Linked DNA regions of Mus musculus. The protein of the gene in region 1 interacts with the protein of each later gene in a biochemical or structural test. Links are inferred from orthologs where the notes say so. Each region holds a gene or a part of one and is shown on either strand. Other genes may lie near its edges.

What was found.
Region 2: of the proteins of Rnf8 (region 1) and H2ax, one has a biochemical effect on the other in vitro, tested with the Homo sapiens proteins (2 studies listed by BioGRID). The link is inferred for Mus musculus from reciprocal best matches to the Homo sapiens genes RNF8 and H2AX.

Annotation. Positions count from the first base shown.
Region 1 is NC_000083.6:29,633,556-29,641,007, reverse strand, and holds part of Rnf8 (E3 ubiquitin-protein ligase RNF8), read right to left. Parts: intron 6,348-7,452; coding exon 6,240-6,347; intron 5,191-6,239; coding exon 4,986-5,190; intron 1-4,985. UniProt on the Homo sapiens protein: E3 ubiquitin-protein ligase that plays a key role in DNA damage signaling via 2 distinct roles: by mediating the 'Lys-63'-linked ubiquitination of histones H2A and H2AX and promoting the recruitment of DNA repair proteins at double-strand breaks (DSBs) sites, and by catalyzing 'Lys-48'-linked ubiquitination to remove target proteins from DNA damage sites.
Region 2 is NC_000075.6:44,330,807-44,337,976, reverse strand, and holds H2ax (histone H2AX), read right to left. Parts: upstream 3,263-7,170; 5' UTR 3,216-3,262; coding exon 2,784-3,215; 3' UTR 1,900-2,783; downstream 1-1,899. Other genes in the region: Hmbs (porphobilinogen deaminase), read left to right, coding at 1-62, 287-325, 502-621, 806-859, 965-1,051, 1,132-1,305; Dpagt1 (UDP-N-acetylglucosamine--dolichyl-phosphate N-acetylglucosaminephosphotransferase), read right to left, coding at 4,855-4,920, 5,006-5,161, 5,327-5,414, 5,885-6,073, 6,775-6,859. UniProt on the Homo sapiens protein: Variant histone H2A which replaces conventional H2A in a subset of nucleosomes. Nucleosomes wrap and compact DNA into chromatin, limiting DNA accessibility to the cellular machineries which require DNA as a template.

The DNA of each region.
Region 1 (7,452 bases):
AGCAGGTCTTCCCCTTCACACAGGAGGGCTCAGGAGCCCCCACTCTCCACACTAGACCATGCACCAGGCATATTTAAATGTGAGGTGGGCCTACATTCAAGGTCATCCCACTGCCTGTTCTTGAACACCCGGTTCTCTCTTTGGACAGAAGAGGACTGACATCACTTGGGAAGGCCAGTCTTCTCAGCTGGGAAAGCTCTCCTGGGTGCTTCCAAACAGATGGCAGCTTCTGATGACATGGCAAAGAGCTCTCACTACAGGTCACTAAGTCAGCTCTCATACCTGTTTGCGATCACAGGGACTACAGACTGGCAAGAAGCCGGAGGTGCCGGTACTTTCTGGGTCACTAGTTCATGCAGTCCACACAGCCCCAGAGCTGACCGCCACAGCACAGTGCTTTCTCTACCAGTTCCTGTGATGCTACCACTATATACACCCTGGACGCAGACACTCCCACCGGTGTGTAAGCCTGAGGGGAGACATGTGTCTGTGCATGAGAGGGGAGGCTGGTCAACTCTCTCAGTGCCTAAGTGTCTCTCCTCAGCTGTCCACCTGGTTCTTTGAGACAGTCTTTCTTACACCATGGCCTGAGGCCGACTGAGGAAGCTCCCAGCAAGACTCAAGGACATGCCCATCTCCACTACCCAACGCTGGGATTTTAAGTTCCACTATGCCCAGCTTAATTGACTCTGGGAGTCAGACTTGAGTTCTCATCTTGTGAGGACTCTGCCATCCCCCAGCCTTCCTGTCATCTCTAACTGTATTTGAGCTCTCAATAAGGAGGAAAAGAGAAAGGAATTCAAGAAGACAACTCTTACTTTAATGAAGAAACCAGACAAATACGTCTAGTAACGTCTGTTAACTCTTACCTAGCAATAATTTTGCAAAGTATAAATTTTTTAAAAAGTCAAAAACAAGCCGGGCAGTGGTGGTGCACACCTTTAATCCCAGCACTTGGGAGGCAGAGGCAGGCAGACTTCTTAGTTCAAGGACAGCCTGGTCTACAAAGTGAGTTCTAGGACAGCCAAGGCTGTACAGAGAAACCCTGTCTCGAAAAACAAACAAAACAAAACAAAACAAAAAAATTAAAAAAAAAAAAAATCAAAACCGTCCATCTGGGCATGGTGGCACTAGGGGAGGCTGAGACAGGTAGATCTCTTTGAGTTAGAGGTTAGCTTGGTCTACACAGCAGACCCTACCTCCATAAACAATCCCAGTCCTTGAGTGCAAGTTTGCTGAGCCGTTTCCTTGGGCACACAGTCCATACCCTACACGTTGATTTTGGGTAAACAGCAGTCTCAGGACAGGGCTCAGAGTCTGCAATCTAACACTCTCTCCGGTGAGTTCTTCATCAGTCTGAAGGCTGCTGACCCACCAAGCAATCCTGTCAAGGCTGGCTTCTAAGAAAGGAGCTGGGCAACATCAGATACACTTCCAGGGGAGCGGATAGACCTGTCTGGAGTCTGGGACCCTTGCTGGTTCTCTGTTCTCTACACCACCTTCCTTTAGCTAAACAGGGGTGGCTGAAGTCACAGGCAAGGTGGATCTTCCTAGGAGCCTTCAACTCAGAACAGCCCAACTCACAGATTCACGGTGCCTTCTCTCCACATACATTCATCAAGAGCTTCAACTTAGTGTTACAATAGCAAGGGAACAGGGGTGGGGGAGGAGGGTTGGGAGGATGCAGTCTGTAGGAGCCAGAGCTGAGAAAGAAAGAACAATTCACCTGCAGATCGTTTGGGTTCCTATGCCTCTCCTCCCATGCAGGGTGAAGACCCCAACCCTCCAGCTGTCTCCAGCCCCGCTTCCTTCATTTTCGAAACTCAGGGGAGTTGAGCACAGCACCTCAAGCCTAAGACCCCAACACTTGGGAAGTCCAGAGGGAGGAGGGCTCTGAGTTTCAGGCTGGCCTCTCAAACCCACCCTACAACCACCACAAAACCTGGAGGAAAAGGGGAGGAGACACGGCTGGGGAAACTGTGTGAACATAGTTAATCTAAGGGGAGCAGAGAAAACAGGGGAGGGAGAATCTGACAAGAATGGCCCTCCCCTTACCATCTCCCCACGGGGAATTTCAACCCTTTCCTTCAGAAGGTGCCTGCCACAGTGACCCCTTACACAGCCAGCCACAGTGACCCTGGTACAAATGTGGCATTTGAATGTGCTATTTACCCCACCTGCAAGGCATGCTTCTTTAATCCTGCTTTAATCCAGCCTCCTACTATCCCCCACCCCCAACAGCTAACCAGTCAGGAGGTGCTGCTCCCACTGGGACCTAAACCTACAGTCAGGGAAGCTGAGGAAGGCCCTGCTTTTGGAGAGCACAGGACATCTGCGTGAGAATCAACCAAACCCTTGCCCAAACACAGAGCCTGCGTTCTTTGTGTATTCGCTTGGTTTGTTGTATTTATATGTAAGGGTGTTTTACCTACACATATATGCACACCATGTGCATTCTTGGTGCCTAAAACAGCCAAAACATGTCAGATCCCTTTGGAGTTACAGGCAGTTGTAAGCCAGCATGTGGGTGCTAGGAATTGAACACAGTCCTCTGGAAGAGCAGAAAGTACTCTTGACCACTGAACACTCTTCCATTCCAGATCCTAAGTTCTTTTTAGAAATTCCCACGCACTAAGGAATAAACCAGCCTTCAAATGGCACCAGAACACTCACAGAGAGCTGGCCCCCACACTGCAGCCAGAACACTCACAGAGAGCTGAACACTCACAGAGAGCTGGCCCCCAGACTGCAGCCCAACAACGCTGCTGGTGGCTCTGGTACATCTTTTCCTAAATCAAGGCACAGAACCTTCTGCCTGTCTAAAGAACGGGTCGCAAAGCTGCACTTGCGGTGAGAACTGGCTGCCAGACATGCTGCGATCAGGGTGTGCAACAGGGCGTGGTTTCCTGAACAGTCACTCCTCTTTCCAGAGGCGCCCAGGGATAGCCTGCTTAGCCTCTGCAGAGAAGGGAGGAGGGACTGTGGTCCTTAGTCTATGCAAGTGACTCTCCATAAGAGGACAGAGACGGACTTGGGCTCTTCCAGTCATCAGCTGAACAACAACATAGGCTGGGCAAAGAAATTCTCCTGGGGGGGGGGGGGGGGCTGGAGAGATGGCTCAGTGGTTAAGAGCACTGACTGCTCTTCAGAGGTCCTGAGTTCAAATCCCAGCACATAGTGGCTTACAACCATTCTTAATGAGATCTGATACCCTCTTCTGGTGTGTCTGAAGACAGCTACAGTTTACTTACATAAATAAATAAATAAATAAATAAATAAATAAATCTTAAAAAAAAAAGAAAAAGAAAAAAGAAACTCTCATAGGCATCCCACCCTGACCCAGACAACACACTTCCGCTCAAAAGTCATAGCCTGCTCCTTATCTAATCTGACTCCCAGGAAGACAGAAGCAAGCCATTGGCAGGCCCCTCCCAGTTTTGGCTGTTCTGCAAACTGTGTCATGTTCTTGGCTTGGAAAGCAAGCAACCAGAAAGCTGTAAGGCTTGGCATAAACATGGCTTCCTCTACAGGATCCTCTCTCATCTCCACCTGCCCAGACCCACGTAAGCGGTCCTTCCTCTGAAGCCACACAACACCTTCAGGTAAGCGTGAGAGGAAGTGAGATGCTCTCTCTCTTCCCAGGGCTAGTGTCATGTTCCTATGGAAATACAGGTGGAAATGAAGAGCAATGGGCTTCTGCCAGAACCAAGGGCAGAGGTAAAACTTATAGAGACTCTAAACTGAGCAAAATACTCTAGCAGGTATCAGGAAAGCAGCAAGCACACACGTCAAGGGTCAGCTCACACTCCTAGCCAGGAACCCTTCCCACTCGGCATCCACAGCACCCAGCCCAGTCTCACACTATGGATGCACATGTGTCAGCAACAGATCCCTGTCCCTACCTGGAAAAGCTGGTTCCTGTAGGGCCACTCGACTGCTATGACCAGCATCTGGCCTCTATGCTGCCCAGCATCTCTCAGCTCAGGAGTATAACCAGGCCACCCCACCCCCACCCAACCCCCACACACCGGTCATGTGACAGCATCACAGACAGGAGCTGAGTTAATTTCCAATTCCCAGAAGGTAGCAACAGAACACGACGGCCATGGACACCCCGCCTCTTGTGCCATGGCTCTCTATGCAATACCCAGCAGCTTCCTTGTTCTGCACCAAGAATCTTCTGCTGCAACATGAAGGAGTGGCTTTCTGCGGCATTAACACAGCAAGCCCCTAGTGTGGCAGCATCACTTAAACCAGCGGTTCTCAACCTGTGGGCACGACCCCCAAAGACCACCAGAAACAGATATTTACATTGTGATTCATAACAGTAGCAAACGTACAGATGGTTATGGAGTGGTAACCAAATTAATTTTATGGTTGTCAGTCACAACAAGAGGGACTACTTTAAAGGGTTGCAGCATTAGGGATGTTGAGAACCACTGACTTAAATGGACAGATATTCACTAGGAGGGACAGTTCAGGAACACTTGCCATCCCTTCCCCAATCTTCTCACCCCAAGTCCCCTGACTGGAGATGTGTTATCAAACCCACCAGGACGCAATAATGTGTGTGTGTGAATAGTGGTGCTAGGGACTGAACCCAGGGCTTTGTGGCTGACTACACCCCAGCCCTAAGCCCTTACAGAGCTTATGTATGTATTTCCATCTCTAACTGGCCGGCTGCCTTCAGCAACAGCACCACCTGGTGTGCAGACAGCAAACCATTTGACTGTTTTCTGGCCCAGCTTTTTGCTCCAGAGCAAGCGGGAACACACCTACCAGGTGGAGCTCAAACAACAGAGACTAACTCTAATTCGGTTCTTTCCTATGCGGGCTACCTGAACTCTGCAGATACTCCCATTTCTCCTGCCTGTACTCCAAAAACATTTACTAAACTCTATTGTCCAACTTCACCCTGTAAAAACGCCTGCTGTAGCTAAGTAAGGAAGCCCTTTGTCAGGGAGTAGGAGTTCAGAGCCACTCACCTCTCCGTTCCCTAATAAGGACACTTCTTCTTTCCTTCACGTCTGAGCTTAGGTTATCCACCATCTTACTAATGCAGTTGTCCAGAACCAGGGAGTTGGTTCTGGACTCAATGTCCTTTCGACAAATGGGACACTCTACTTTCCGTTTCATCCATTCATTGATACAGAAGGAGCAGAAACTGTGGGCACAGTTCAGGGTGACAGCCTGCAATGTGAAAGGGACACTCTTACTTTCTCAAGCACAACAGAGCGAATCTCCCAGGCCCACAGGCAGACTCACCACAGCCCCGCCTCACAGAGGCTCCGCTCTGCTCCGGCTGGCTCAGCACCCGGTTCTGCCTCCCTTTCCTCCCACTCCCCTCCAGTTCCCACAGTCCTAAGCAACCCATCAGACTGGAGACTACGCTGGGAATGACTTGCAGCCAAAGTGGCAGCCAAAGTGACTCCAGTCACAGACCTGGTCTTTCCGCAGGAGGCAGACACACCCAATCTTCCTAGGGGCTGCTTGGGAACAGCAGTCTCTCTGCACACCCATCTTCCTTTCCAAAGGTGTAAAAAAGACTAAAACTCACCTGCTACTCAACTGTATAAGCGTAACACTTAGCATAAAATGAATTGGTTACAAATGGTACGAAAATGTATGAAAATTAAAATAGCTGGTGTGATAACATGGCGAAGTAACAAACGGTAGCCTAGGAGACAGGTGTTTGCTTATCTTTTTTTTTTTTTTTTTTTTTTTTTTGGTTTGGTTCTTTCCAGACAGGGTTTCTCTGTGTAGCCCTGGCTGTCCTGGCACTCACCTTGTAGACCAGGCTGGCCTCGAACTCAGAAATCGGCCTGCCTCTGCTTCCCGAGTGCTGGGATTAAAGGCGTGGGCCATCATGCCTGGCTGGGTGTTTGCTTTTCAAAAGGACCCACAAAGCCATGAAATAAATTCATTCTGGTGCCTGATACCCACAGTGACCACACAATCAATGGCACTCACTACTCTGCTTCAAAGCCAAACCACAAGTCCACACAGCGCGCCGTGCCCACCCAGAGGAAAGGAACAGCAGCAGCAGTGGGCAGTTATATTCCCAACACTTCAAACCCTCAGGCTCAGTGGCCCCCGGAGTTTCACTGCAGTTAAACGGTAACTGTGCATGTAAGTGTCTAAGGAGGGGCAGCACAGTGAGGACCGAGTCTTGTCTAAAGAATGATCCCCTGGTGCCAGAGGCCGGTGCACCAGGGTGGGGGTGAGCACCGCACACTTACCTCAATAAAGTACTCCGAGCAGATAATGCACTGGAGCTCGTTCTCCAGCAAGTCGTTCATGTGGCTGAGAACCTCCTCCTTCTGCGCTTGCACCTTGTCCTTTTCTTCCTGCAAAGACAACACCACAGTCACAGGGAAACCGCAGAATGCAGGACAGGCCGGGAGCAAGGCTGGCGGAGCGCGGTGTGATCAGGCGCCTGTGCAAGGATGGAACTCTCCCTGTGAGCACCCTTTCCCAAGAGTTGCCTCCTGACACAGAAGCTGGCTCCCTGCCTACCCCATCCCCGTGTGCTCAATGCTAACCTGCTGACAGTTAGGAGAAGCCTTGAGGTTGCTAGGAGGATGGGCAGGACAGGATGAGTGGTTCAGAACCAAGGCTGCAGAGGCTGGTTCTGCTCTTCTCCGTGTGAAGAAATAGCAGCTGAGGACCAAAATTATGTCCTTGCCAGACTCCAGCCTCATCTGCCAGTGCCTTCCAGGACTCCTAGGCCTGCAGAACTTTGGAAGATACATTGCTGTTGCTCATTAGCTGCCCGATTCACAGTGTTTTAGCTGCAGCGGCCTGGAGGAACTAAACCCTACTTTCTCGGTATGTGCTCTATATGCAATTTGTTCCTTTCCACGAATAGCCAAGGTGGGGGCTTGGTACTAGCAAGTCACAACCTGAGTGCTAAAAACTTTTCCCCAAAACTATAGTTTCACAGGACGAGAGAGGTAGATCACTCTAGAGGCAGGGGCCTGAGTGAGTGTACAGTCCCTGGTGTAGTTAGCAGCTGTCTCTGAGGACAGAAGAATACCCATCTCTCCTATCCCCCCAACCCCCACCCCCAGCCATGGCTGGAAACAAGTCCAACCCTCCGACGCTTGCCACCTCCTGCTTCTGTTCCCCTCTATCCCCAAGGTCAGGACACCGTGAGGTCAGGACACCCGTGGGCTTACTGTTAGGTGAGGACACCCGTGGGCTTGCTGTTAGGAAGGACCCTACCTATGCTCTTTACGTTGAAAATTAGTTATGTCTTCACCCCCCAAACAGGAAGCAACAGGAGTTCAAGACAAAGAGGAAAAGCCACTCAAATTACATCTGAGCAGTTGGCTCTTTTTGTCTTTTTCTCTTCTAATCAAAACTACTAAGTCACACAGAGGAGGAAGATCCAGGCTAAAGCCATGATCTCTGAGATGCTCTTTCTTTTTAAGATTTGTTTTATGTATATGG
Region 2 (7,170 bases), on another chromosome or scaffold:
GTGCCATCGTCCTGGCTGTGGCTGGCCTACAGCGCATGGGCTGGCAGAACCGGGTGGGCCAGGTAGGAGCTGCCCTGTTCTGCTTCCCATTGAATCTGCCTCTCTCCTGCCTTGATTTCTTCCTGACCATTCTGCCAACAACACTACAACCAGAAGCCCAGGCTAGGGATATTGGGACTCATTGCTGGACTTCCTACCTGTGCCTTCCCCAGGCTTCCTAGATTGGCAAACCCTAGCTCACTGCCTTTGAACATCCCCTATCCCACCATCTTGTCTCTCTCCACAGATTTTGCACCCAGAAGAATGCATGTATGCTGTGGGTCAGGTAGGTTTGCCTGGAGAGAACCTGGTTCATAACCTTTGGCACCTGCTATCCATCAAATAAGATGTTTAGAGAGGGACAGGTTTGGTTGTTATGCATAAGACCCAGGGAAGCAGGTAGAGGTGTGTTTCTCATGCTTAGCTCTATTACTAGAGAAGATCAGGCCTGTTGTTCTTTAGGGAGCCCTAGCCGTGGAAGTCCGAGCCAAGGACCAGGATATCTTGGACCTAGTGAGTGTGTTGCACGATCCTGAAACTCTGCTTCGCTGCATTGCTGAAAGGGCTTTTCTGAGGCACCTGGTAAGATGGGCTCCTCCCATGGTGTTGTGGGGAAACCAGGAAGGGCAGTAGGGAGAGAGATTTGTCAAGTACTCAGTATGTAATGTTTTGTATGTATGGAGAGGACCTTGATCTGGCCCCTTGAGGTCTGTGGTCAAAAGTGGTGTTAAAGGCCCTTAGAGCTCAAAGGAACATATCATTGCAGGAAGGAGGCTGCAGCGTGCCCGTAGCAGTGCATACAGTGATGAAAGATGGGCAAGTAAGCCAGGGAAATGGATGAGGGGAGGGACTGTCATTTCCATGTGCACCGAAACATCTAAGTAACTTTCTTTAAATATCCTGGTACAAACATTTTATTTCCTAGCTGTACCTGACTGGTGGAGTCTGGAGTCTAGATGGCTCAGATAGCATGCAAGAGACTATGCAGGCCACCATCCAGGTCCCTGTTCAGGTATTGACTGGGAGATGAGGAAGGAATAAATAGAACTGCTTGTAATCTTCCTCTTACCAAAATTGTAACCTGTCATCCAGCAAGAAGATGGTCCAGAAGATGACCCACAACTGGTTGGAATCACTGCCCGTAACATTCCAAGAGGAGCCCAGCTAGCTGCTGAGAACCTGGGCATCAGCCTGGCCAGCTTGCTGCTCAACAAAGGAGCCAAGAACATCCTGGATGTTGCACGGCAGCTTAATGATGTGCGCTAACTGGTCTGTAGGGCACAGGAACCCTGGCTGCCACTCCACTGCCTACTTCTGGCTTCCAAGTGCCCTGTGCTCCATCCCTAGGGATGTGATTATCCCAGGAAATTGAACCACGGGGTTGTTGAGACTTCCACTTTGGAAGATATGCCTCACCTTGGGGCCTCCATATCTGCCTTTCCCTCAGTAGTTGGGGGCTTCATCTCTTTAGAGAAAGTCCATGCCAATCTTTGAATGTAACCAATACCACTAATAAACCAGTTTAGAATGTGGTTCTTCTGATAGAGTTGGGGAAGATATGAATAAACCCAAAGCCCTTTTAAACTTGAATTGAGTCTGAGACCTTTCTGTTGTAAAACACGCTGTGATTTGCCTCATGTTCTCAAAAAAAAAAAAAAAAAAAAAAAAAAAAAAAAATCAGCCTTCAATTCCTACAGCCTGTCTTCAGTCAACGGGATCTTCGTGGATTACATAGCCTTTCCCACTCCCACGGCCTGCAGAAAGGGAAGTCCCATTCTCTCCCAAGATGTGCCAGGCACATGGCTCTACCACGGAGCTATATGTCCAGCCCTGGGACTACAGCATTCAACATTAAACCACTTTTTTAAAAAAACAAAACCAAACGATCCTTTAATAAAATTAGCCCATTAAATCTCCCCACTTAAGGTTCTAAACTTGTAATAGCTGCAAAAGTTCCAGTTCAGAAGCCAGAGGCTCAGTCCAGACAGGGATTCACCGGCTTGTGCTGGTATCTAGGTGTTTGGGTTGTAGTTGAGTCGCTGGGGAAGAGGGGATGGATGGCTAGGCCCGGCTGCCAGTCGCCTGCGGCAGGTATAGAACTCTTGTCCACAGGCCGGTAAGCGTCTCTCTGACCCTTGCCGGGAGGTATTCCTAGAGAAACTGGGTTCACATTACAACCATTTTTGGCCCCGCCACACCACACTGGCCTACGAATGGCGACAGGGTCAACTGGTATGAGGCCAGCAACGGTGACACCGAAGGAAACAATGTGATCCATTTCTCCTCCTCTAAGCCCGGCAATCAAGTCACTTTTCAAAGGTCCAGGCGAGGGCTAAGCACCAAGCTGAAGCAAAGACGCCGGGGCTGTAGCTGCGGAGGGACTAACCTTCAAGCCCACCGCGGCCGGACGTCTGAGCGAGGGGCCGAGACTCCGGGAAGGCGCCGCAGCCTCTCCGCACGGAGCCGTCGTCCACAACCGAGAACGGCGAAGCGATGTCACGAGCTCCGGGATGGGCAGGTGCCGCGGCGCCCGCGTCCTCCGTGGCAGAACCGGAGGCCGTGCGGGGTAAGGGGAAGAGTGGCGCGAGGGCGGGGAGGGGAGAGGAGGGAAAGAGAAAGGATGGGGACGCGGCAAGCCGCCGCAGCCCGAAGTGGCTCAGCTCTTTCTGTGAGGGAGGTGGTGGCCCTTAAAAGGGCCTTTGTGGAGGTGTGGGGAGGGCTGGGCGGCCTCGGCGCGGGCCCCCTCAGTACTCCTGAGAGGCCTGCGAGGCCTTCTTGCCGACCGCCGGCGCCTTGGGCCCCACGGTGGCGCTGCTCTTCTTGGGCAGCAGCACGGCCTGGATGTTGGGCAGGACGCCGCCCTGCGCGATGGTCACGCCGCCCAGCAGCTTGTTGAGCTCCTCGTCGTTGCGGATGGCCAGCTGCAGGTGGCGCGGGATGATGCGCGTCTTCTTGTTGTCGCGGGCCGCGTTGCCCGCCAGCTCCAGGATCTCGGCAGTGAGGTACTCGAGCACCGCTGCCAGGTACACCGGCGCGCCTGCGCCCACGCGCTCGGCGTAGTGGCCTTTCCGCAGCAGCCGGTGTACGCGGCCTACAGGGAACTGAAGGCCGGCGCGTGAAGAGCGCGACTTGGCCTTGGCGCGGGCCTTGCCGCCGGTCTTGCCGCGTCCGGACATAGTGTACGAGGTAGAAGAGCTGCGAACAACGCTGAGAGACCACGAACTACCAACCGCCGCAGTCAACGGTCGCCTGGCCGGCCAAGCCCGGCCTTATAAACTCCCTGGACACGCCCCCGCTTCCTCCTGATTGGTTCCTTTTTTAATACCCACCTCTGGTTGGTTGCAATTAACCCTTCGGTGACGCGCCTTAGCTGAGAGAACGCGCCCAGTGATTGGTCCAATTTGAAAACCTTTTACCCGGGGAAGAAGACAAGGCGGAGTGGCCGCAAGCCGGAGGCTGCTCACCCCTGGAAATGGCCAATCCGTGTAGAGCGCGCGAAATTTAAACGCTACGGCGCGACAACAAAACCTGAAGACTAGAAGGGTGGAGCTTGGAGCTACCTCTACAGTTTCTGGGAAATTTGAGTCGGTCTTTGGTCTTAAAGGAAAAGGGTCTACACTATAAGCAGCGTTCTCCTTCCAGGTTAGAGCACTTCCCACTCCCTCCTCTAATCTGGTAGACGGAGGGTTTATTTGTTCATTATTATTTTTAGGTTTGTTTGTTTGTTTTTCGAGACAGGGTTTCTCTGTGTAGCCCTGGCTGTCCTGGAACTCACTCTGTAGACCAGGCTGGCCTTGAATTCAGAGATCCGCCTGCCTCTGCCTCCCAAGCCTGAGGATTAAAGGCGTGCGCCACCACCATCTGGCTTTTGTTTGTTTGAGACAGGGTTTCTCTGAGTAGCCCTGCCTGTCCTGGAACTCAGAGATCAGCCTGCCTCTGCCTCCCTAGTGCAGATTAAAGGGAGGGAGGGTTTAAAAGAAACGAAATGAAACCTCCTAGGAGTTTAATCCTATGCCAGAAAATGGAGCACTGTGATCTTTTATGCTATCACAAGTTTGTGCTGCGATATTTATTCAACATGTTCTGTCTGGTCTTAGTTTGTGACAGGCCTTTTTTGCAAGAAAGGGTCTGATGGAACAGAGATCGGTATCCTATTGGGAAAGGTACCCGGTCTAACCCTTCCAATCTATCCTAAAATGCCTATATAAAAAATAAATATACCAGACTTGGCATATAGTTCAGTGGTAGAGCAGTTAAGTATAAGGAAGCCCCGGTGTTCACTCCTGAAGCACCACGAAGGTTAAAAAGGACAGAGGGAGGGGATGCTACACTAGAGGAACAAGTAAAAGGCAGTCCTTTATTGTCACCGTTCTGAGCACATGGCCCTGCCTCTACGCTTCCCAATCACAACACTTCATTTGATAGTCAAATGTGAGGTCACCTTGGAGTATGTAGCCCTAACTCTAGCCCTAGCCCAGGTTCTCTCTCAAGGCTCAGGTGAATTCCTTTAGAGTTAGCGCTCTGAAAGCTGAGCTACGAATATTTGCATAATAGAGGCTACAAGCCCACCTGGTGAGGCTGCAGATGGGACAGAAAGGGAGGGCAAGGCAAGATGAAAGCCCTAGGCAAAGTCCAACTAGCGGACTTCAAGTCCAGCAAGGTGTCCATCCAGGATATCAGTAGTCACAGATGGCAGAAGCTGAGAACAAAAGTGTCAGCGAGGCCTGGACCAGAGGGTCATCTCGGACCAGACAGAGGCTGGTCCTGGCTGAGGTCCAATGGAGACTGTGAGGTAAAGGGCAGCTGTCAGGGAGCTCAGACATCATAGAAGAGTCGGACGAGTTGGTAACGAATGGAGAAGGTGGCGGCGCTGCTTAGGACCTGGGAGAAGTGGACTGGAATTAGAAGCAAGGCCAACCAGAGATGTAAACGCCATGGCATTACTAAGCCCCACCCTGAGCTGTACCTGCAGGAGCAGCAGGAGCAGGGTGAGGTTTCTCTCATGTATAGGCCCAAAGACTTTAAGTAGCAAGTTGATGAGGGTCATGTTGTTACACTCAGTGAAGGCACCGTCCTCACTCTCACCTTGGTGAACTGTCACTAACCGGAGGTTCTCTGCTACCTGCAGGGACCAGAGGTGAAGATGACTTCAGTTATGCAGATCTACTTCACGAATAGGGATCTTCTTGATGTTCCCAAACTCCCCTTGGGCCTGAAAAGGCCTAGGTTTCTCTTTTCCCAAGTTAAGGATGGCGGCCTCGGGCCTTACCTCCTGTTACCTTGTTACCTTTAAAATAAAGGTGCCCAGGAAAGAGAGGTTCTTGGTCTTGAACTTGGAATAGCTCATTTCCAGTTTGCCTGTCTTTGCGTTGAGTCTGCAATGGGAAGATAATTTCATTTGACTGAATCAGAGACCTCTGCACCCTGGTTACTAAGAAGAGTACTGAGGCCGGGCGTGATGGCGCACACCTTTGATCCCAGCACTCAGGAGGCAGAGGCAGGCGGATTTCTGAGTTCAAGGCCAGCCTGGTCTACAAAGTGAGTTCCAGGACAGCCAGGGCTATAAGGAGAAACCCTGTCTTGAAAAACCAAAAAAAAAAAAAAAAAAAAAAAAAAAAGAGTACTGAGTACTTATGTACTGGAGTTGGTTTCTGGCTCCGTGATCAGGGCTGTTGTAAGCATTACATACTATGTAAGTAAACGAGCTTCGTAAATTACAATGGGCTACCCACATACAGTCGGCTCATCTTTCCCCTCATGTTTTTTTTACATAGGAAATGCAAGTTGGCTTTAGCTATCCCAAGTCAGAAACTATTATGACCCTTGAAAGCCCCAGAGTGGTTACCTGGGCATCCGGTGTCGAGGGCAGGGGATGATATGGAAGAGCTGAGGCAGTGAGTAGAGGAAATTGAATACTTGTGGCATAAAGAAGAGCAGCATGGTCTTGCTGAAGTGTCCCAAGATCCCCACCACGGCAAAAGTCATGCCCGCAAAGTAACAGAAGGTGTCTCCCACAAACACGCGGGACGGGTACCTGTGTGGGAGAGAGGATTTCAGCCAATGGCAAGAGTTGTTACTGACTCTTTCTTTCAGTCACTCGCTCTGAGTAACAGGCCAGCCTTGACCCTGAGTTCTAAAAGAAAGGCTGTTCCAGAAACTCTATAGGCCCCACGGCCCCCAACTCATCTACTCCTAGGGGCTACACAGCATTTGTTCCCAACTCCTGCAGGATAGGCAGGGATTCCACACCAGCACCAGGCTGCTCTGTAGCTCACCGGGCAAGCAGTCACCTAGCGAGTACAAGGTCATGGATTTGATCCCCAGCACGAGGGTGTGCAGATGGTGGGGTGAAGGGTGGGATCTAATAGCACATGCCTGTATTTCTAGGCCAGCCTGACAACACCGTAAGTTCAAGGCCAGCCTGGGCAACTTACTAAAACCCTATTCTCAAAAAAAAAAAAAAAAAAAAGTCTGGGGATACAGCTAAAATCTAAAGTGCTTGCTTAGCATTAAGACCTCAGATTTAATACCCTGTTCATAAACACAAACACACACACACACCAGACGAGTGCTTGTGCTCACACAAGAGTGGCAAACTACTACCAATGGCAGAGCCAGAGAATATCCAACAAAAGTATGAGCAATTTTAGTCTCTTCATTAGAAGCTGGGTTATGTCAAGCCCATCTCTGCCACATACATCAATCATTTCCTCTCTCATCCATAGGCCTACATACCAGTTGTGGTAAAGCAGTCCCAAGGTGGTAAAGAAAAATGGTATCATGAAGTAAAGGGAAAAGATATGATCATCTCGATAATCACCTTTGGAGCAAAGCAAACAGAAGGGAGTCAGTACCGGCATCCCGCTGTGTACCTTGGTCTCATTTGTATCTAATTTATGTTCCCAGCCATTAGGAACACAGCACCCAAGTCACTTTCAAGACCAACTCTACCCCACCCTGCCACTGCTGCTCCCTGACTTCCTATGTAGCCAAGTCTGGCGGGCACCTCCCATGTGCTGGGATGACAGGTGTTTGCCACCGTGCCCAGCTCTAACTTCCCCTTTCACATCACCCAGGCCATTCCCGATACTCTCATTACTTTCATTGACCTATAAAAAAAAAAAAAAAGCT